Linked DNA regions of Saccharomyces cerevisiae S288C. The protein of the gene in region 1 binds, or shares a complex with, the protein of each later gene. Each region holds a gene or a part of one and is shown in the gene's direction. Other genes may lie near its edges. The genes, in order: RSA1, SNU13 and HIT1.

Region 1 (6,418 bases):
CCACTATAATTACACCCTCATTAGCAAGAGATATAGCTGATGATTTGTTCACTATGCTAAACAGCACAAGACCGTACATAAGAAAGAAGGCCATTACCGCACTATTTAAAGTTTTTCTGCAATATCCAGAGGCTTTGAGAGATAATTTTGATAAGTTTGTTTCAAAGCTAGACGATGATGATATATCTGTGGTTTCTGCCGCTGTCAGTGTTATTTGCGAGCTATCAAAAAAAAACCCCCAACCATTCATCCAGCTTTCACCTTTATTATACGAGATATTAGTTACCATTGACAATAACTGGATAATCATTAGATTATTGAAGTTATTCACCAACTTATCACAAGTGGAACCGAAATTGAGAGCCAAGTTATTGCCGAAAATTTTAGAACTGATGGAGAGTACTGTTGCAACTTCTGTGATCTATGAATCTGTCAACTGTATTGTCAAGGGGAATATGCTAGAAGAAGATGATTTTGAAACAGCAATGGCATGCCTGGAAAGATTGCACACATTTTGTGATTCTCAGGATCCAAATTTGAGATATATTAGCTGCATATTGTTTTACAAGATCGGCAAAATCAATACTGATTTTATTTCTCGGTTCGACCAACTGATTATACGCTTACTCTCCGATGTCGACGTTTCTATAAGATCAAAAGCAATTGAATTGGTTGAAGGTATTGTTGATGAGGATAACTTAAAGGCAATTGTCCAAACATTGATGAAGCAATTTGTAGATGAAGATGTGGTTATCCTACAAACTGGAAGCATCGTATACGAAAAATCAAAGAGAATTCCCATAATAATTCCAGAAAATTACAAGATAAAAATGGTGAACGTCATTATATCGATTTGTTCAGCTGACAACTATTCCAGTGTTAACGACTTTGAATGGTACAATGCAGTAATAATGGACTTGGCGATGCTCTGTCAAGACATATCTGATAAAAGCCTTGGATCAAAAATTGGTGAACAGTTTAGGAATTTGATGATAAAAGTTCCTTCAATGAGAGAAGTAACCATTGCTAATATTATAAAGCTTATTTCAAATGACAATATTAACAAACAGTTGCCTACCGTATTGAGAGAATGCATTTGGTGTCTCGGAGAATTTTCTACCCTAGTTGAAAATGGTAACGACTTAATAAAAATCATGACTGAGAATATCAGTTATTATTCTCATAGTGTACAAGAAGTTTTAATTTTAGCACTTGTTAAAGTATTTAGTAATTGGTGTAATAACTTTCAGGAGGATAAACGCTTTGAAATTAAAATGGTGTTAAAAGAGCTAATTGAATTTTTTGAAAATTTATCTTATTCGAGTACATTCGAAGTCCAGGAAAGAAGCGTAGAAGTTTTAGAATTTTTAAGACTAAGTTTGGAGGCTTTAGAGGAGGATACGGAAGGTCTACCAATGCTACTGAGCGAAGTCCTGCCTAGTTTTTTTAACGCCTATGAACTCGCACCAATTGCGCGTGGGACTCAATTGAAGTTAGCAGTAGATGAGAATCTTGATCTAGAAACTCCATTTTTGACAAAGGAGGCAGCTGATGAACTCTTAGATGAACAAAAAAGTGACGCCATCAGTGATTTAATGTCTGATATCTCAATGGACGAGCAAGTTGAACTAAAATTCGTTGATGATTCTGATACTTCGTATGAAGAAAAGGAAAAATTGGATGATTTTGAAAATCCATTTGAGATTGAGAGAGAAAAGGAACGGATGTCAAATCCTTATTATCTAGGTGAAGAAGACGAAGAAAGAACTAAGAACTCTAAAGATTTGTTGGACTTGAATGAGGAGGAAAGTAGTGATAAAAAGCCAGAAACTATTAGATTAAATAGAACCGATAATTCGTTGAATTCTCTAAGTTTATCTACAACTGAAATCAGCAGAAAGAAGAAGAAGGGAAAGAAGAAAAATAGGGTTCAAGTCTTATCCGATGAACCTGTTATCGAAGCCGCTCCCAAAAGGAAAGATGCATTCCAGAAACCCCATGATAATCATTCAACTCAAAATCCTTTGAAAAAGGACAAGATTAATCTGAGAATGCACTCTCAACTTGAAAATTTTGATTTTTCCAATTTTGGGCAATCGAGTAACGCAGGAAGAGGATCGCAGGAAGAGGGCAACCTTAGAAAGGAAGACGAGTTAGAATTAAGTCGTTTAGAGGCCAATCTTATTGTAAAAGATGAAAAGGATAATTTAAGTGATACTGAAGAAGTTATAGTTATAAAAAAGAAGAAGAAAGGGAAAAAGTCAAAGTCAAAAAACAAACTAAAAACGAAAGCAAAAAATTCTCCAGAACCAAATGAATTTCTTCGAGACCAAAGCACTGACATTTAACGATAAAAAAATCGAAGTCGTGAATTCTCAATGACAGCGATTACGTACGTAAACTATAATTAATTTAAGTATTTTATTCTGCATAGTATATTATTGCGGTGCACTCAATTTGCCGAAAGAGACGGCATATTTAATAATGACGCGAATGAATCAAAGGCCGCCAAAGGTAATCATAGACCAGAGATGATTTGCAAAATTATTTGACATACTATTGCTAGTGTAACAATAACACAGCATAACTTTGCTTAGACATATATGTCATTTAAGGCAACTATCACCGAGTCGGGGAAGCAGAATATCTGGTTTCGTGCGATATATGTGTTATCTACAATTCAGGATGATATCAAGATTACAGTGACAACAAATGAGTTAATTGCTTGGTCAATGAACGAGACAGATACTACTCTTTGTCAGGTTAGGTTTCAGAAAAGCTTTTTTGAGGAGTATGAGTTTAAACCACATGAGATTGTATTTGGAGAAAATGGGGTTCAAGTTATAGAAGATACGTACGGCAATAGTCATAAGTTATACTCCTTCCGTGTTAATGGAAGACACCTAACAACTATATCAAGAAAGCCGGATGGTGATGGCATCAAATCATTCACAATTGCGGTAAACAACACTTCTACCTGTCCTGAATCACTTGCAAATAGATTGATTGTGGTGATTGAAATGGATTCGTTAATAGTCAAAGAATACTGTCCCCAATTCCAGCCAATAAAATACGATCCCATAATAATCAACCTTAAGTACAAAAGGAGGTTTTTGGATGTTTTTGGAACTGCTGCCTCCGATCGGAATCCACAGGAGCCCTTGGACCCTAAGCTATTGGACGTTTTTACAAATACAGAGCGTGAGCTAACATCAGCCTTATTTAACGAAGAAGTGGAATCAGACATACGTAAAAGGAATCAGTTAACGGCTGCTGATGAGATTAATTACATTTGTTGTAATTCAACTTTATTGAAGAATTTTTTAGACAACTGCAATGTTAATGTAACCGATGAAGTAAAATTGGAAATTAACGTACATAGGCTAAGCATAACTGCATTCACCAAGGCCGTCTACGGCAAAAATAACGACCTTTTAAGAAATGCGTTAAGCATGAGTAACACTATCAGTACGCTCGATCTTGAGCATTATTGCTTATTTACAACAATCGAAGATGAAAAACAAGATAAGCGATCACATAGTAAGCGTAGAGAGCATATGAAAAGTATAATATTCAAATTGAAGGACTTCAAAAACTTCATAACGATAGGTCCATCCTGGAAGACTACCCAGGACGGAAATGATAATATAAGTTTATGGTTTTGCCACCCAGGGGACCCTATTCTTATGCAAATGCAAAAACCGGGCGTAAAATTAGAATTGGTTGAAGTTACTGACAGTAACATTAACGATGATATTTTAGAAGGAAAATTCATAAAAACAGCAATCTCTGGCTCCAAAGAAGAGGCCGGACTGAAAGACAACAAAGAAAGCTGCGAAAGTCCATTAAAAAGCAAAACTGCTTTAAAGAGAGAAAACCTGCCACACTCTGTGGCTGGAACTCGAAACAGTCCTTTGAAAGTGTCGTATCTGACCCCTGATAATGGAAGCACAGTTGCTAAGACCTATAGAAATAACACGGCAAGAAAATTATTCGTGGAAGAACAAAGCCAAAGTACGAATTACGAACAAGATAAGCGGTTCCGGCAGGCTAGTTCAGTTCATATGAACATGAATCGGGAACAAAGTTTTGACATTGGTACGACTCATGAAGTGGCCTGTCCACGTAATGAGAGCAATTCTTTAAAAAGATCCATAGCAGATATTTGTAATGAAACTGAAGACCCCACCCAACAATCTACATTTGCAAAAAGGGCAGACACCACTGTGACATGGGGAAAAGCGTTACCAGCTGCAGATGATGAGGTTTCATGCAGCAATATCGATAGAAAAGGAATGCTCAAGAAAGAAAAATTGAAGCATATGCAAGGTCTGTTGAATTCCCAGAATGACACAAGTAATCACAAGAAACAGGACAATAAAGAGATGGAAGATGGGCTGGGTCTAACACAAGTAGAAAAGCCAAGGGGTATATTTGACTAAAACCATAATGCAAAATCAGTATAAAGGCGTGTAAATATTAGATGAAGTAGCAATTATCATGATAATATCGATCGCTGTTTTTTTTTTTTTTTCTGTCTCAATTTGGTGAGCGTGCGGCTGATGGTCCATCACGGTCGGGGAACAAACTAAAATTTTCAATAGCATAATATCTCTATATTGCATAGCTTTTTACTTAATAGGAACTTAAAAATTTCATTGATGCTATTATATTTAACTCATAAGTCAATCTCTTTTTCCATTTTGATTAGCTTATTGCGACATGGACTATGAATTATAATAACTTTGAAAATTCGAAGGGTGATGGACATTCTAGGCTTCCCAAACCTACATACTCCGGAACGCTATCAGATGGCTATGATGAATCGAAAATTAAAAGGCAAAAAACAGACTCTGCTTTTAATGCAGCTTACTCACCTCATATGTATCCGAACTCTCCGTATTATGAAGGTTCATGGAATACCGGTTATACTCCTCAACTTCATCATGTAGCCCCTCATAATCAATATTTCCATCCAATACAACCGTCCACTCAGTACAATTATACGAGTCCTCCCAATTATACAGAAAATTACATACCGCCAGTTCATCAGAATATATCTTATGCACCAGCGCTTAATTTACAGAAGTGGCCATCATCATATTGTGAAAACACTCAAGCCTTAAAGAATGATAAAGATTACCAAACATCAATTAGTTATGAAGATGTTGCAATACCGACCGTAAAGGAAATACAATTGATTGAGAAAAACAGAGGGAAAGATACGTTTATGAATGAAATAAGTCCAGTACCATCAAGCAAGGATCAAGCATCTGCGGAGCCTACAGAAATCCCAAGAAAGGATCCCGAGCTGGCAAATTCTAATGCCGAAGATGATCATAATAACTTAGGGCTAGAAGATGATGATCGTGATGAGCAGTTAGAATCAGAGGGGTTGGGTAAGGTGGTTTTGGTTCCTGGAACCTCCATAGCATTGATTACTGATGAAGATGTTAAAAAGTGGAGAGAAGAAAGAAAAAAAATGTGGCTACTGAAAATATCCAATAACAAACAGAAACATATGCAAGAAATGGGCATAAAGGAAGATGAACTGAAGAGCCAACCTAGCATTTTCAAAGAGTCAAGGAAAGAAAAGCAATTTATACAGAGTATTCAAAATCAAGTGCAGAGAGGAAATCCGAAGATTGACTTGAACTTGAAATTGATACAGCGAGAATTCGCAAACGAAAACTCCCAACTTTTGGACTTTATAAGAGAATTGGGAGATGTAGGATTACTTGAATATGAGCTATCTCAACAAGAAAAAGATGTACTTTTTGGGAGCTCTGAAGATAATAATAAAAATCATTACAAACCAAATTACAAAAACAGGAAACCTAATCTGAGTAGAGCCAACTTTACTAGAAATAAGTAATAGAATAGCAAATATTGATATACATGGAAGAGTACATGCAAAGGTGCGTAAAAAAAAATAAGTCAGATAAAACTAATTACTGTTTAGAAATCATGAGTATATGAAACTAATTTTGAAGAGCTTTAACTGCTAGGTTACTTAAAACAGTAGTTACAGCAGCACCAAGGAACGAACCGAAAATGGCACCTTGGTAAAATGAACCCTTATTCTCTCTCTGTACTTTACTTTCAGAAGCGTCTTTTTTCTTACTTTTCGTTCGTGATTTTGTGGAAGATGTTGTCGTTTTGTGCTTCCTGACTCTACCAGGCGACACAGCCTTCTTAATGTGTTGTTCATTATTAACTAATGACTTTTTATTAAGCGGTCCACCGTTTTTGGCTTTATTTATAACGAACCCATCAGCAGAGTTTGAACTTGCATCTGTCAGTTTATGCACTCTAAGTTTTTCTTGGTCGTTGTTTTTCTTCAGTGTAATCAATGCAGCGTTGTCTTCTTTCATTGCTGTCATTTTTTGGAGAAGTATTTATATATTTATTAGTTATT
Region 2 (8,279 bases), on another chromosome or scaffold:
CCGCTATGACGAAGACAGTGTCATACTGTTATCGTAACTACGGGCATAGTTTCTACTTCACTCATTACAAATACGACTATTTTCCTAGCGGGATTAGTTATATGGCAAAACTTGGCGATGCCACCGTCAACCATACGGACTTACCTCACTTTAGGAACAACAAACGGCTAACAACGCAAGAACTCAATGCCTTCCAACATCCAATTGTCGAGTTTCAGTAAGTACTCAGGTATTACGTTATGTACATGTATGATAATTCTGATTAACATCTTTTATACACAAAGATGTATGCATGAATGGTGCAAATATCTCGACGATGCGCAGTAAAGAAAGCAATTTACTACTAACGTCTAGCGATATCATAGATGATGACAGGATAACGATATAGGTTAGATGGATATTGGAGTAATTGTCAAGTCCCATTTTGATTGAAGACAACATTATTAGGCCTACAGAGTTGCTAAAATTCTCCACTAGGTCACAGGAGTTCGCAAAAGAGAATCAACAATCTACATAACCATGCACACATTTCTTCGTCCTCTACGTTATAATTTACTGCTCTAAAAGCGTCACTTCTCCTTTCATTTTATGTTTTATTGTTCATTATCCTACTGCGTTATCAATCCTTACATTTCGGCTTCCACTAAATTTAATGACTGCTTCTCATCATTTCATGTCTTCTAACGCCGTATATAATAATATCCCAGCAAAATATAACTGTTAGTTAGTGAATCATAACCGACTGTTACTCCTGCAATATCCATGGGAGAAATCACCATCGGAAGGTAAACTAACACGTAGGTATTGATTCTACCGGAAATGAACAAATGTCGTACTGCCCAAATGAGCCAAATGCCATCATATACGCCTTCATAACTATATTTGAAAAATACCTTTGCCTAAAAGACGAGTGGTATTGGAAACTTCAATTAGTGTTCAAAAATGTCCAGTGAGAGGATGAAGTTGTCGTGGTTGAAACAGCATAAACCACCTAAAATAGTATCAACTGACAACAACTGTGGAACACATGCGGTTACTTTTATAATTAACCGCAAAATACCTGAAATGAGCTAAGAAATAGTAATTATAAACATGCCACTACAAGTAACAGATTAAGTGATATGTTGGCGGACCTCAATATAAGCGACATGGAGAGATAGAGATAGAAGAATTTGTTATTGTGTTAATAAATAAAGTTAACATCCAGTTCTTTCAAGTTGGCTAAGCGCCGTGGCGCAGTGGAAGCGCGCAGGGCTCATAACCCTGATGTCCTCGGATCGAAACCGAGCGGCGCTAATTTTTCATTTCTTTTTGCCCGCAACAATAACACAGATCGCAATCATTTAAGCTATAGACTATAAGCTTTAACTTCTGCGTTATTATTAATAATTGTTATTGTTTTAGTTAGGTATTTCTATCAACTTATTTTATATATTCTATATTACAGTTTTCTTTTTTTACAAATTCACCCAGCAATTATTTATTATTAATTGTACATCTTCTTTAATAATGAATTTATTATTGCACAATATTCAACTTAGGAAAGATAGAGGAACTGAATTCTTTATCAGCAATGAAATAGGCCGTCTACGGCCGTCTACGGCCTATTCCATTGCTAAAAATTTGAATCGTATAAAGGGATATTACCCGGAAAAGAAACGCATTAAAAAAAAAAAAAAAAAAAAAACAGAAAAAGTGGTTAAGTGATTGACTGACCCTTGATAGTTTTGTACAATTATACACTCGTTCTGATTAAAAACTTGTTTATAAAAATCTTTTTAAAAGAAAGAGAAGATCGTGTTTATTGCTTTTCTCAAAAAGACTAATCAATTAGAATAACAAAAGAAACATATACATATAATGACTGAATTGTGTCCTGTCTACGCCCCTTTCTTTGGTGCCATTGGTTGTGCCTCTGCAATTATCTTCACCTCATTAGGTGCTGCTTACGGTACTGCTAAGTCTGGTGTTGGTATCTGTGCCACTTGTGTGTTGAGACCAGACCTATTATTCAAGAACATTGTTCCTGTTATTATGGCTGGTATCATTGCCATTTACGGTTTAGTTGTTTCCGTTTTGGTTTGTTATTCGTTGGGTCAAAAGCAAGCTTTGTACACCGGTTTCATCCAATTGGGTGCCGGTCTATCAGTCGGTTTGAGTGGTCTAGCTGCTGGTTTCGCTATTGGTATTGTCGGTGATGCAGGTGTTAGAGGTTCCTCTCAACAACCAAGATTATTCGTCGGTATGATTTTGATTTTGATTTTTGCTGAAGTTTTGGGTCTATACGGTTTGATTGTTGCTTTGTTGTTGAACTCCAGGGCTACTCAAGATGTTGTCTGTTAAGGCAGCTTCTGAATCACTAAAGCAGGAATAGAGTATACAAAAGAATCTTTTTGTGAGAAACTATGAAAACTATCAAAATTTTTCATCTTAGAGATTGTTTATAGCCCCTATTCTTACTTCATATCCAAACTACCTCATTTCAAGCTTCCTTTTTATTAGTACCATTATTATTGTTTAAAAGAGTATTACACGCTAAATATGTATATCTTAATTTTTAATGTGTATAAAATAGAAAATTTGAATATCAAGGAGCAACAAAGAGCATTATGCGTTTTAAGCTACACAATGGGTACGATGAGATCACTATACCTGTACTCTTAAAAGAGGCCCAACCTTATCAACTTCTATTGTTAAAGTAGACAATTGTATCGTTTCTTTTTCTTATCGGTTTTATCCGGGTAATAAATTCAGCATATAGAAAAATTTTTCATTTCTATTTTCTTTTTCTTTTCATTTTTCCTTTTTCTCAGAAAATTTTTTTTTCTAATGCTGGAATGAGATGAGTTAGAAAATTTTTCACTTTAAAACTGATTATTCTGGTTAATAGTGCTTATTCCTCTTAGTGTTCAAGTCCTACTTTCAAATCTTAATTTAAATCATCATTCGAGCGAGCTTTCTATACCAGGACCATACTGATTATTGCAAGGAACTTGAATAAACCAGATTTCATACTATAAAAACTATATTAAAAATGTCTGCCCCAAACCCAAAGGCTTTCCCATTAGCCGATGCTGCATTAACCCAACAAATCTTGGATGTCGTTCAACAGGCTGCTAACTTGAGACAATTGAAGAAAGGTGCCAACGAAGCTACCAAAACTTTGAACCGTGGTATCTCCGAATTCATCATTATGGCTGCTGACTGTGAACCTATTGAAATCCTATTGCATTTACCATTACTATGTGAAGACAAGAATGTTCCATATGTCTTTGTTCCATCTAGAGTTGCTTTAGGTAGAGCTTGTGGTGTTTCTAGACCAGTTATTGCTGCTTCTATTACCACCAACGATGCTTCTGCTATCAAGACCCAAATCTACGCTGTCAAGGACAAGATTGAAACTTTATTAATTTAAGTAGATTGGATTATATCTATCAACATAGTTTTTGTACCATCTATATACTATAAAAAAGTTTTTTGCTTTCCACTAGTGCAGACGCTAATAGTGCTGTTTTGTTAGTGGTATGATATATGTCATATCTTCATTGAATAACCTACTCGAGTGCATCTGTAAATGCACAAACATGTATTATCAATTGAGCTGTAGTAATTTAGGCATAACAAAAAGGTGCAAGATCTCATGGCACCTATTCGTTCGTAGGAGATTTATTGTCACCTTTTTAGTTTTACAGGATCGAAAAAATCTATGGTCTTGTATGGTGAATGATCTATATGTCTTCTCTTTGAATTTCTAGCTAGCTCATCAAAGCCGCTTTCATTTATTCCAGTCTCTTTACTCACGGAATATTGTTTAGTAACATTTCGCATGCTTTTCTCAGACCTTCGAAAAGCTCTTTTACATTCGAGCTTGATCTTTTTGTAATCATGCAACGTTCTCATCCACAGCTCACCAATGAATTCCGATATTATATAAATTTGGCCCTCAGTACCGCAAAGTAAAAATAGAGGTATGACGCCTTCCAACCTTTGACTATTGAAATTTGGACATATTTGAAGGTTTTGAAATCCATCTGGGATGGCCGCCAGTGAGATTATCTTATTAGGTAACCGAATTTTGAGGTATGGCATAGCCAACCCGCCCTTATCAACTGATAATTTAGAATCTTCGTATATTGTCAAGGTATTATCAATACCAATGGTGGCAACATAAGATCTATTGGAATATTTCAACGTTGCACAAGAAAGGTCTGATAATCGACCTAATAGATAGTTCTTATCACTCGCTAAACAATCGTTTTTAGGTTCTCTTAGCTTCTTAGGAATTATTTTAGTCGCCACTTGTGTAATGCTTCCCAACCGCTTAAAACCCAAGTAGGGACATTCAGGGTACTCTGATGGATATACTATGGACGTCCTAATTGGAAAGCGGGTTCTCAAAAAATCTCTCAAGATCTCAAATTGAACCAGATAATCACCACTCATATAAGCTGGAAGACCTATATGGTTAATCGATGAAAGTGCTGGGAAGGAATAGGCCTCTAAAATTTCCGCGCCCTCTTTTAGCATGTTTATTTTATATGCTGCTATGCCACTATCACCAGAAAATAAAACCAAGTTGCACTCATAGTATATGAACACCGAGAATATACAATCTTCGAGATAATTCGCGTACAATTGGGTAATGTTATTGTTTCTAATTTCAAACAGCCAGAATTTTGTACGTTTTTCACCAACTCCTAAGCATACAACAAACTTATTACCATAAAAGGGTCTCTGTGATAAGTAGATTGAGTTTTGTTCTGGCCACAGTGGCTTCACAACGGCATGTAAATACTTTTCATCCGAGAAACTGAATGTGGAAACTGCCTTCATTGAAGCATAATTGAATAGCATCAACTTATACTGCCTACTATTGCTATCGACCAAACACACCACGGCCTGATTGAGGTTATTTGGAACAGTATAGAGCTCTACGGGAATGCTAGGGAGGTAAAAGATATGATTTTCTAATTGAGGTTTTAATGAAGTCATCTGCTTAGTGAAACCTTCACGGTAAAACGTGCTACCAAACTCAAAGATGCTTATTCGAGAATCATAATCTAAAACACAAAGAGAGAACAGTGCTTTACCGGGTCGAATTCTCATTCGTCTTGGAACTAAGCCTAACTGTATGCAACCATAAGACATGTTTTGAAGATTTAACAAAATTATTTCCTTATCGTTGTAAAGGAAAACCAAAGGTAAGGAAGGAATCGTATCCAACAGTTCTAATTTCTGATCGTATAACGAATGAATCTCTAAATCCACTCTCAAAAAATTTGATTCTGATTTGTAGACTCTTACGCAGCCAGTGTATGATGATGCGATGACATAAATCGAGTCGTGTTTATGCTTTTTGCTTAGCCAAGATATTTTTATCAATTGATCATAGGCTATGAAAGAATAGTCTGGATGTGATGTAGCCACTTTCTTTTGATTGGCATTCCATACCGAAAACACACCGTCCAAGTAAATGACAAAAAGGTATTTCTCGGCACCATCTGAGAAACAGCTCACAATACTCTCTTTAGAATTGAGCCCATGGATAAAAAATTCTTCTTTTTTACGTAGAAAACCAGATTTTGCCTCAAGTATCGAAATCCTGAGCTTGGAGTTCTGTACGGGATAACAAAACATGGTGGAAGAGTTGTGGTTCGACTGCAAGAAATCGACCTGCCTAAATTCTCCGGTAGAACCATCCATACCGGCTTTCAAAACTTTTCCCGTCCTAGAAACAAATAGACCGTAATCATAAGGCTCATCCATTAAAAATATTCCGTTCTTATAAATCAACCCACCTGATTCATATGCAAATTCGTCACCACCATTAAGTGCTAAATCTGTAACCCAAAAATCAGTTACATTCTCTACTAGCGCTTTGGAGGAAGTCACTAACTTGAACAGGGTTTTGTCATATACCAAAATTTTCTTTTCTAAAAATCCTCTTCTTGAGTTAAAACTTCCACCCAAAAGCAGTGAATCAATATCTGTCCCCTTGTTTCCAATAACTTGTGATGCCAGGTAAACTTTGTTTGTATAAGCGGGACCGCTTTTCACCTTTTCTAATTTTGAACCTCGATGATCTTTCGATATAAAATTTACTCCATTTATTCTTGTCACCGCTATATACTTTTCACGTGGGAGCTGCAAAATAACATCGCATAGATCATGTTTAGGAGGCTTGAACACTCTTTCTTTTGTCCATTGTAGTTCTTTCAGGACGTGGTCTCTATGTAACGACCTAGTGTGTATCTTGGCAGTGTATTTGTTAGCATACACGTCAGAAATTGTCAAGAGAATGACTGATCTTTCATATATCACATCATAAGAATCTTTTAGAAATTGGTAGTTTTCTACATTTGGGAGACCTTTATTATTGAAAAAAGCCCCGTTTGTAAGCCCACTTGCTTTTATATTTATTATTTGAGTGTAGTTAGTAGTCAACACTACAATGGTATGGCCGCAAACTACCTTCATATAACAAAATTCATTATCACATATCGGCAAAAGATTGTATTGGCGGTACTCGTTTAAATCAAATTTCCTACTTCCATGCTTTCCAGCAAGATTGTATTCCTTTAAAAACAGGTTTTCACTATAGCAACTCTTAAGTAGGCAAAGAAAATAAACGTGTGATTTACCTGTGCATGTGGCGTCGTCAAGCAAATCCTCCCTGCTAATAAAATCAAAGGAGATAATTTCTTCGCCATCGGTGGCATAAAATCTTTCGACTATTCCTTCTCTGAAGTCAAAGGAGTAAATTGTCGTACATAACGTATGCAAATCACTATCATATGATATGTTTTTATTGCAAGTGTATAAAACACCCTCAAAGGAAGCATTTAACCAGCTGGAAGTTAATAAAGAAATAGTATCCAGTTTCGGAGCCACATTAGAGTCGTAGATAATTTCAAATTTGTTATTTTCGCATTTGAATCCCTTAATGGAACCGTCGTTAAACATTAGCAGGTGACAGAAGGAAGCTGACATGAACATCGGTACAGTTGCGTAGTTAACAACGAACGGTCCATCTAAAGCGAACTCAACCTTCGCTTTCAATTCGTTGGACGTTCCGGTATACAATCCATAGCTAAAACATAAAAAGTAACTTCCTTCGTGATGAAGACAACTTACCAGCTTCTCAGCCTCATCTTTTGATCTATAAGATGTTATGCATAAAGGTAAAAAGGCCGAATTGCTATCCAATTTTTTGCAGTCCGTTTCATCTTGTCTTGCCATTTTACGTGGCAATGGCTAGTGCAATATGCAATGCGCTAACGCTGACATTATAACACAATATATTTTTCTACCCTCCCTTTCGCTGAGTTGCGACCAGAATGTCTGTTTTTCAGTCATGTATTTCTTTCCGCTTTAGGCGTTCAGGCAAGCGCGTTCAGTTGAAAGCAAATAGAACCTATAACGACGAATACGCTTAAAGGAAGTATACAGGAAATAGAAAAAGAAGCGTACTGCATGTACTAAAAACCAAAAAAAACACCACATCGGCTCTCTGGTTGTATCCATACTTTCCCTAAAATTTTGTAACTCAAGAAAATACCTACATAAAACGATAATCAGTGGATTGCACTGATCAAGTCGAAAAACTCCGTACATGCCCGTCTATCCCTGTCTCATCCATATAAACTGAACTAGGTAGAAAAAAATACCTACCCTTTCTTTAACCGCCTGGTATATTAAATACCATTGTCAATTGAGAAGCTAACAGCCATTGTAAGAGTTATGTCCAGTGTCCGACTAAGACAAGGTAACCATACGTTGATAGCTATGAATACCCCAGAGGAAGATTATTCTTTCTCATAAATCCTTTTTATTGGTTTCAAAAATCCACCAATAAGTTCATATAGCTTGGGCGGCTATTCATGCGTAATATAATGTGCATGAAGTACGACCCATCGACTCTTAGAGCAAATGCTTCCTAAATTGAAATAACTAGCCGCCTTTAATTCGAGCCTTCTTGTCATCTTGTGTATTTCATCCTTTCAACTTCTCCTGTTCCACCTTTCACTCTAAGCTTCCCTATCATTTGGCCTCTTTCAGGTTCGTCCATAGCGCATCTTTTTCCTTTTAGACACTCCATAACGGACCAATCAGCGTTTTGCGCCATTTATCGGTCTTGGGTCACGTGCGGCGACGCGGAGGCTCCCTTATAAGGACTGGAAAAAGACCTGCAAGAACTATAGTTGGTTCTTGAATATCAAGTAATATATTACTTCTCTGTCGTAACTTTTTGTTGCTTTCAAGTTCAACGTCTTTTAAAA
Region 3 (8,469 bases), on another chromosome or scaffold:
AAGTCTTTGTATTACGAAAATTAGTGAAAATATATCCAAGTGGCAAAAAGAGGCTGATGAATCATCAAAGTTGGTATTTAACAAATTGAGAGATGTCCTTGGTGGCGTATCAACCGCTAATTTGAATAATTTGGCAAAAGCACTATCGAAGAATAGGGCCCTGAATGATCATACTCTGCAACTTTTCTTGAAGACAGATCTAAAAAGGTTAACTTTCAGCGATTGTTCTAAAATTTCATTTGATGGTTACAAAACGCTAGCCATTTTTTCGCCACACCTAACCGAATTATCCCTACAAATGTGTGGGCAGTTGAACCATGAATCATTGCTTTACATTGCTGAAAAGCTTCCGAACTTGAAATCACTGAATTTAGATGGACCATTTCTGATCAACGAGGACACATGGGAGAAGTTCTTTGTAATAATGAAAGGTAGATTAGAAGAGTTCCACATTTCTAATACGCACCGCTTCACCGACAAATCATTATCTAATTTATTGATCAACTGCGGTTCTACCTTGGTATCCTTAGGGTTATCCAGACTAGATTCTATATCAAATTACGCTTTATTACCGCAGTACCTAGTCAACGACGAATTTCACAGTCTCTGTATTGAATATCCATTCAATGAAGAGGATGTTAACGATGAGATCATCATAAATCTGCTAGGTCAAATCGGGCGCACGTTACGTAAATTGGTTTTGAATGGCTGTATTGACTTGACAGATTCAATGATAATCAATGGTCTGACTGCATTCATTCCTGAGAAATGTCCATTGGAGGTATTGAGCTTGGAAGAATCAGATCAGATCACTACAGATTCACTGTCGTACTTTTTCAGCAAAGTAGAACTGAATAATTTGATTGAATGCAGCTTTAGAAGATGTCTACAATTGGGCGATATGGCAATTATAGAGCTATTGCTTAACGGAGCAAGAGATAGTCTGAGAAGCTTAAATCTCAATTCATTAAAAGAGCTAACTAAGGAGGCATTTGTGGCGTTAGCCTGTCCTAATCTGACGTATCTTGATCTTGGTTTTGTACGTTGTGTTGATGACTCGGTGATTCAAATGTTGGGTGAGCAAAATCCGAATTTAACTGTAATTGATGTTTTCGGAGACAATTTGGTTACTGAAAAGGCCACAATGAGGCCTGGACTTACGTTGATAGGGAGACAGAGTGACAGTATATAATAAAATAAAGACATATAAAACGTGTATTAGATAGAAAACGGAAAATTGACTAATGTTTTTATTCCTATTATACTCAGATCGTCAAATGTTGCCTTTATTTTCTATTGAAGGGATTTTATGGCATCTCGCGAATAATAAACAAACAATAATAGTAAAAAAAAAAGTGTAAACTTATGTATTCAGCGCAGATAAAAGGAAAAAAACGAGAAGTTTGACGTAAAGAAAAAAGTTCGAAAACTTTTGTAGCAGTTGAAAGTTTTGTATGCTATGTCAATTAGGCCTCTCACGTTAAACGGTTTAGATGAGCCAGAAACCTCTTTTGAAGAACTGAATACAACTCTACCTCGCTTTCAATCCCATGAAACATTAACTTTGGAAGAAAACGTGCCACCATTGAGTACATCAACTTATATACCGCCTCCATCCTCGGTAGGTACTTCTGACACTGGCACGGTATTTTCCAATAGTACCAGCGCGTTTTGGTCTAATAAGCAAGCAGACGATGATCAGGACATGGAGGTAGACCAGGATGATGAATTTCTAAATGACTTCCAGGAATTCCAAAATAAAAAGGATGATTTTGACGATGCTATTAAAACAAATTTTCATTTGAGAAATGGATGTCGAACTGGCCCTTTCAAAAACGACATTTTCGCAGAAGAGTTTGATAGAAAACTGAGTTTGGAAGATAAACCAAGGCTAAAGCAACCTAGATCAATGATGGAATTGAAACCAAAAAGAAAACTATCAAATAGCGTCACTTCAAGAAACTTAAGGTCTGGTAATTCTGTAAGATTTAAGAAATCTATGCCTAACTTAGCTTTAGTTAATCCAGCTATCAGAGAAGAAGAAGAGGACGAAGAACGAGAAAGAGAAGATCAACGAGAGTTTAATTACAAGATTGATAACGATACGCAGGACACAATTTTGGCGAAATTCAGTTCAGATGATGAAGGTGACTTTCTGACAGGATTTGAAGAATTAGAGGGTGAAGCAATTGATGAAACGATTTCTTCGAACGATAAAGAAAGTGCCGACCATCCGCGTTTCTTAAAGAAGTCATCCTCATCTTTGCCATTAAAAATATCACCTGCACAATATGATATAGTAAAGCATGACGAATTATTAACTCCAGGTCTTCATAGGCGACAACGAGATTGGAATACCCAGCAGGAACTGGACTCTTTTAAAGAAAAACGATCAGTAAGACACTGTTCTAATCAAAATGTACAACTCAATGGTCCAGCTAAAATCAAAACAATAAAACAGCAAATTGATCATAATACTCCAATGAAGAAAGGTTCTATGATATATAACCCGAAAACTATGAAGTGGGAAGGAAATGAAAACGTCTTAAGCAAATTTAGTGATGTAGACACGGCAAACAGGAAAGCTTTATTGATAAAAAACAAGCTACAACGAGATGCAGATTCTAAGAAGCAAAAATATTCTGATCTACAGCATGCAAGAGCCACTTCGAGAAATCAAAAGGTCATCGGGAACATGATTTTAGATGAACAAAATTTAAGATGGGTTAGTGTTTCAGAGGAAGAAGCAGACCCTTTTGCAGGCATTCCTGAGATAAACTTACCACCAGTTGGCAAAAGTATGAAAAAACGTAGCTCCTCACCATTTTTGCGTTCCAAAAGCCAAGTTAATACGCCATTTGTTTCAAATGACAATGATGGCGTTTATCAAAGTACGGCTGCTCAAGCAAGACTCCGTAAATACCATTCAATGAGGACACTTAACGGTACAACAGAAACTCCAGAAATAAGCTCTACTTTCCATTTGAGTTCAAGAGCATTGGAAAAATTTTACCACGAGGAGAACAGGTGGTGTAAAAAGTTAGCCTCATGGTTTATACCCCGAGATGAGACCATTATCAGTGTTGATGAGGAAACAATCATGGATGAAAGTACGGTCAATAGCAAGAGAAAATCCTATATGTATGAAATCAGGAACATGGTAATCAATTCGACAAAAGATTAGCCCTTTAGCCTTCTTATAACTGTTTCTTTACCGTTATCTTGAGTACATTCATTTCTCTTACATTCCAAAATTAGATAGAACCTTGAATCGTGTCAACTTTTCGCCGACATTTCGCGTCTGACAGAAAAAGAAATGTTGCAGAAAATTCGAATAGATGTTTCAAATGAAAATAGACCATGAGGGACACATTAACATTTCAAACAAAAGAGCCCTTGATGATTATTAAAACAGATCTTTATGGTTTGTTTAGCAAACACTTTGGTAATTTCATGAATATTTGACTAGCAGGAACAGAAAATCAAAAATGTTTAACCATGATTGGAAGTACTCCATTAATTCTAAGACTTTCGCCGATTTAAACATTGAATTATTTCGAAACCACAAGTTCAAAACTGTTTTAAATTACATAATAGGTGTAGTTGGGTGGAATGGATTAAAACTCGCCCTTTTTGTTTCTGACATTTACACATGTATCAAATTGCTGGCATTCAACTCCTGGTCAAACAACATCATCAAACCATACTTACCCTTTAAAATATCCAAATGGTTGTTTAGCGGTTGTATTTTAGCATCGATTGTGCTATTGATATGGGAGGCTATAGCGGGAATGAGGATTTACAAAACGGGAAATATCTCTTTGACTTATGTCAACAATTTTTCCAGAAACCTAAATTCAGTGCTCAATTATTCCAAGTTTTGTGTTTATAATATGATCGAACGAAAGGGTTTTCGACAGAAAATGACATTTTTTACTTTTTTTCAACTGAAAGATTGTATTAGATTAATCTTCACGGATACCCCAAGGCAAGTTATTAATGGTCTTACGCTGTGGTCAGTTCTCGTAACAGTAAATAAAAACGAGGATCTAGGCGATCTGGAATCATTTACCGGTTTGATCAACAAAATAAAGAACATTGGCCAGACCAATCATGAAGAAGCAGTGATATTGTCGCTGATGCTATTTTCCTTTATAATCTGGGCATTATTTGTCTTCAAGTTTCTGCTTGCTGTCATTTGCTCGATTTTTGTTTATTATAAAATAATCAATGATCAGGAATATAGCGGGTTGCGTGAGTACATTTGTGTTACCGTCAGCGAAAATGTTGATGAACTTGTTGAAAGACAAAGGAAAAAGGAAAATGATGACACGATTTATAAGACAGGTCTTCTCGAATCTCAGACTTTTGACGATTTTAAAGAAGTTGAAAATAAAATTGAAACATCTTTTAATGATACGTCATATGCTTCTAATAATGATTCTATGATTGAGCTAATAGAGAGAAGACCCGAATACAAAAGTCAGGATGTATGTGGGCCCATTCCCACAATGAAGAAAACGGAAACAATGGAATCGTTCGTTGACAATGGCAATCCACAATATACCACTAGATTCTCTGCGATTCTAGATTCACCATATATCAACAGCTATGAAAGTAATGATATAAAGAAAGCAAAAATACAAAGCAGAAGCGTAAATACTCCAAAATATGAGGATTTGTCTTCTTCTGACATTTTCAACAAAATACACTCTGCTGGACAATTAAAATCTACAACTTCTATGGAGTTTCACGGGCCATTAGATTCTATGCCAAATACAACAAACAACATCCGTAATTTTAATAGCAACAGTAGTAGACCTAGACCACCTCCTTTACAGACAAAAAGTTCGATTAATTCAAAAGCTGACTCGAATGATAATGGAAGGATTTATACACCAATGAAAGCGTACTTCAGGGAGCCTGATCTTCCGAGGAAGGGTTTGCTGGAAGATGAAGATCGTACATATAATTATACTTAATAGGCTGGCAAAAGCCCTTTGCATATTTCATGAATTAGATAGACGTGATTAGAAACAGCCGTTAGTATGTTTCTGATAAAAATAATACTTTTTTTGTAACACTATTTTCATATATTGGATTGATACCGGTTATAGCACAAACATAACAGCCATGAAAGTTTCTTTGAAAACCCCTTTTAACATTTGCTTGTAAGAGATAGGTTAATTTTTTATAGTTGCTGAGATTCCATTGTTGGTAAAGACTTAATATTAGGTATACAGAATATACTAGGAGTTCTCTCTGGGTATGTAGGAATCCACAAAAGGGTGTCACTAGTTCAACATAATAACATCTTTTTTTTATTCCTTCTTTGATATTTTGTCATATTATCCTATTATTTTATCAATCCTTGCATTTCAGCTTCCAATAGATTTGATATTTGTTTCTCAATATTATGTCATCTTCATACACAGTATGTGATAATATACTAGTAACATGAATACTACTAAATGAGTACTACCTTAGGGGTTCATTACAGCAGCTTAAGCGAAAGTAGAAAATGAGGCGGATATTTGTTGGAATAAAAATCAACTATCATCTACTAACTAGTATTTACGTTACTAGTATATTATCATATACGGTGTTAGAAGATGACGCAAATGATGAGAAATAGTCATCTAAATTAGTGGAAGCTGAAACGCAAGGATTGATAATGTAATAGGATCAATGAATATTAACATATAAAATGATGATAATAATATTTATAGAATTGTGTAGAATTGCAGATTCCCTTTTATGGATTCCTAAATCCTCGAGGAGAACTTCTAGTATATCTACATACCTAATATTATTGCCTTATTAAAAATGGAATCCCAACAATTACATCAAAATCCACATTCTCTACAATATTGATTTCCATCGTGTAAGTTTTCTGCACGAAGTTTATTCATTCAATTTGAAGTGCTTCGTAATAATATTACTATGCAACTTAGGTACCTCATATTTCTTAGAGTTCAACCAAGTTGGTTCCGTTGGCGTAATGGTAACGCGTCTCCCTCCTAAGGAGAAGACTGCGGGTTCGAGTCCCGTACGGAACGTTGATTATTTTTTTTTTTTCGTTTCTTTATAGAAAAAATTCAGACGATATTACCTTGCGATGAGATAATCTTACCGCAGAAAGAGTGCCACAGTGGTAATAACTAGTTGAAGGTTCATATTATATAAAAAACTCTAAGAATAAAAATGGTATCTAGTGCAGTTAAATGTGGCATATGTCGCGGAGTTGATGGTAAATATAAATGTCCTAAATGTGGCGTACGATATTGCTCCTTGAAATGCTATAAAGATGCTGCAAAGCATGTTCATAAGGAAAGCGAACAACCCAGGGCTGGTACAGAAGCTAATGTGGAAGTTGTTAATAACGATAAGATCATAAACAGTTCACTCGCAATGAATAAAACATTAAAGACGAAGGCATTCGATGATATATATCAAAATAGCGCAGAATTGCAAGAGCTGTTGAAATACAACACGGTGAAGTTCCATTTGGCAAAGGTTTATAGAATTTTGTCCAGTACTGTTAACGATGGAAGTTCTGGAAAAATGAACAGCGATCTACAAAAAGAACTAGCTGTAAATTATTTGAATACATTACGATATGGTGGTATACATTATAATGAAGCAATTGAGGAATTTTGCCAGATTTTATTAGATAAATTAAATGCGGTGAAGAAATAAGAATTATCGTTGTTAGCATGATTTTTAAGATTGAGCATTTTATTCATTTTTAACCATATAATAGTGAAGGTGAGGACTAATAACAAAGTACTTGTTGAAAGGGTCGGGTTGCTTTTAGGTTTTTTCTTCTCGTTAAGGATTTCCCACTTGTCTGGCAAGGCGTCAAGCAGACTTGGAAAATAATGATATTATGTCAGAATTTTTGTGTGAGGCGCTTCTATTGCAAGTTTGTGACACCTTATAATAAAAGTGAACCATGTATTTACATATGATTAGGGAAAGTTCCACCATCATCTTATGATCTTCATGGCCGTTTTGGTCTTCTTTTTAACTTGAAGTCCAACTTGGCGACTGTACATATATACATATATATAGCAATAAGTATAACAAGGCAACAAATCAGGTCCCATTATTTAATTTGAAGTCATCTACTGCCCCATAAGAACCTCTATATTATCAGTAGATTCTTTCTTTTAGGGAAATCGAACCTCGATATTGTAAGAGAAACCCGCGCCACTCCTAAAAAGGTATTTTGAAGGAGAGGATGATTTGGAGCAACATTTGGTACACTTTATCCTCAGTTTTTCGCTAACTACCTCGCAACTTGTTGTTGTGGATGAAATTTTTGATATTAATTTCAATAAATAAAATATATGCAAATATCATTATAATTTGTCAAGTGCGGGAAATAGACTATGCAGTGATTTAGTGTGCAAGTTTGCCCACTTCACATTCATACCAAATATTTCTTCCCACTCATTTTTATCGTATTAGCACTACATACGTGACTTTTTAGCTCAGCTTTCGGACTGGATAGCTTTACTGACTTACTTTCTACAAGCGATATCATTCGTCACAGTACTCCAAAGAAGTCTGGGCATTTAATTTTCTTCTTTATCAAGTCCGCCATTATGAAGGAATGTATTGGGTAATAGTTGACATACCGATGTTCTGCTGGTAGCATCGATGAACGAAAATAGGTAACGGCTTGCCGCTGAAGATATTGGAAATGAGACAGATCATTCTAGGGTAAAATGCGCTGTAGAGCTAGCGTCAATTGCGATTTTCGAACACTGGCTGCAGGTATTTCTGTTTTCTCGGCTTTCATTATAGTAATGTGAAGCTACTAGGAGAATCACGAAACATCTTTTTAGTAGGATGAGAACACCACGCTCTCCTAACTGGAAGTAATTTTTGGTATGCTTAGAGATCTGTTCCTCTCTTATGACTTCTTTTTCGCCTACTATAAACTTAATATCAACATATTTAGTTAGTTTTTTCAGAGCAATACGTGTTTATTTTTTCACAACTTCGCATGGCATTATGTATCATTGCAGCGTAAATTTTTACATTTAGTAATATCTAATAACATATACACAAAAAAGGGACAGATTTTTGAATTAAATAAACCAAGCGTAAATCAGTATTGCTCTTACCGCAGTAGGGGGAGTTATCTACTCCTGCTTAACGTAGAGAAACAATAGTAAAAGTTATGCTTGTGTTGGAATAAAAATCAACTATCGGCTGGCAACTAATAGGGACACTACCAATATATTATCATATACGGTGTTAGACGATGACATAAGATACGAGGAACTGTCATCGAAGTTAGAGGAAGCTGAAATGCAAGGATTGATAATGTAATAGGATAATGAAACATATAAAACGGAATGAGGAATAATCGTAATATTAGTATATAGAGATAAAGATTCCATTTTGAGGATTCCTATATCCTCGAGGAGAACTTCTAGTATATTCTGTATACCTGAT

Evidence for each region.
Region 2: the proteins of RSA1 (region 1) and SNU13 are in contact, whole or in part, in a crystal structure (PDB 4NUT), measured with the Saccharomyces cerevisiae proteins. Residues at the interface, in NP_015131.1 of Saccharomyces cerevisiae: Val242 (codon at 5,453), Trp245 (codon at 5,462), Arg246 (codon at 5,465), Arg249 (codon at 5,474), Lys250 (codon at 5,477), Met252 (codon at 5,483), Trp253 (codon at 5,486), Leu254 (codon at 5,489), Lys256 (codon at 5,495), Ile257 (codon at 5,498), Ser258 (codon at 5,501), Asn259 (codon at 5,504), Asn260 (codon at 5,507), Lys261 (codon at 5,510), His264 (codon at 5,519); in NP_010888.1 of Saccharomyces cerevisiae: Pro6 (codon at 3,050), Lys7 (codon at 3,053), Phe9 (codon at 3,059), Pro10 (codon at 3,062), Leu65 (codon at 3,227), Pro68 (codon at 3,236), Leu69 (codon at 3,239), Cys71 (codon at 3,245), Glu72 (codon at 3,248), Asp73 (codon at 3,251), Asn75 (codon at 3,257), Val76 (codon at 3,260), Pro77 (codon at 3,263), Tyr78 (codon at 3,266), Tyr115 (codon at 3,377), Lys118 (codon at 3,386), Asp119 (codon at 3,389), Ile121 (codon at 3,395), Glu122 (codon at 3,398), Leu125 (codon at 3,407).
Region 3: the proteins of RSA1 (region 1) and HIT1 are in contact, whole or in part, in an NMR structure (PDB 2MJF), measured with the Saccharomyces cerevisiae proteins. Residues at the interface, in NP_015131.1 of Saccharomyces cerevisiae: Glu320 (codon at 5,687), Asn321 (codon at 5,690), Ser322 (codon at 5,693), Gln323 (codon at 5,696), Leu324 (codon at 5,699), Leu325 (codon at 5,702), Asp326 (codon at 5,705), Phe327 (codon at 5,708), Ile328 (codon at 5,711), Arg329 (codon at 5,714), Glu330 (codon at 5,717), Leu331 (codon at 5,720), Gly332 (codon at 5,723), Asp333 (codon at 5,726), Val334 (codon at 5,729), Gly335 (codon at 5,732), Leu336 (codon at 5,735), Leu337 (codon at 5,738), Glu338 (codon at 5,741), Tyr339 (codon at 5,744), Glu340 (codon at 5,747), Leu341 (codon at 5,750), Glu345 (codon at 5,762), Leu349 (codon at 5,774), Phe350 (codon at 5,777); in NP_012589.1 of Saccharomyces cerevisiae: Asn71 (codon at 6,415), Lys72 (codon at 6,418), Thr73 (codon at 6,421), Leu74 (codon at 6,424), Lys75 (codon at 6,427), Thr76 (codon at 6,430), Phe79 (codon at 6,439), Tyr83 (codon at 6,451), Leu89 (codon at 6,469), Leu93 (codon at 6,481), Asn96 (codon at 6,490), Thr97 (codon at 6,493), Lys99 (codon at 6,499), Phe100 (codon at 6,502), His101 (codon at 6,505), Leu102 (codon at 6,508), Ala103 (codon at 6,511), Val105 (codon at 6,517), Tyr106 (codon at 6,520), Leu109 (codon at 6,529), Asp124 (codon at 6,574), Lys127 (codon at 6,583), Glu128 (codon at 6,586), Ala130 (codon at 6,592), Val131 (codon at 6,595), Leu134 (codon at 6,604), Asn135 (codon at 6,607), Arg138 (codon at 6,616), Phe151 (codon at 6,655), Cys152 (codon at 6,658).

What each region holds. Positions count from the first base shown.
Region 1 is NC_001148.4:176,674-183,091, forward strand, and holds RSA1 (Rsa1p), read left to right. Parts: upstream 1-4,729; coding exon 4,730-5,875; downstream 5,876-6,418. Other genes in the region: APL5 (Apl5p), read left to right, coding at 1-2,348; DDC1 (Ddc1p), read left to right, coding at 2,604-4,442; pheromone-regulated protein PRM3, read right to left, coding at 5,982-6,383. UniProt on the Saccharomyces cerevisiae protein: Involved in a late nucleoplasmic step of 60S ribosomal subunit assembly.
Region 2 is NC_001137.3:98,909-107,187, forward strand, and holds SNU13 (RNA binding protein SNU13), read left to right. Parts: upstream 1-3,034; coding exon 3,035-3,415; downstream 3,416-8,279. Other genes in the region: YEL028W (uncharacterized protein), read left to right, coding at 1-221; VMA3 (H(+)-transporting V0 sector ATPase subunit c), read left to right, coding at 1,861-2,343; YEL025C (uncharacterized protein), read right to left, coding at 3,673-7,239. UniProt on the Saccharomyces cerevisiae protein: Common component of the spliceosome and rRNA processing machinery. In association with the spliceosomal U4/U6.U5 tri-snRNP particle, required for splicing of pre-mRNA.
Region 3 is NC_001142.9:532,568-541,036, forward strand, and holds HIT1 (Hit1p), read left to right. Parts: upstream 1-6,204; coding exon 6,205-6,699; downstream 6,700-8,469. Other genes in the region: UV-damaged DNA-binding protein RAD7, read left to right, coding at 1-1,192; BFA1 (Bfa1p), read left to right, coding at 1,460-3,184; KCH1 (Kch1p), read left to right, coding at 3,489-4,982.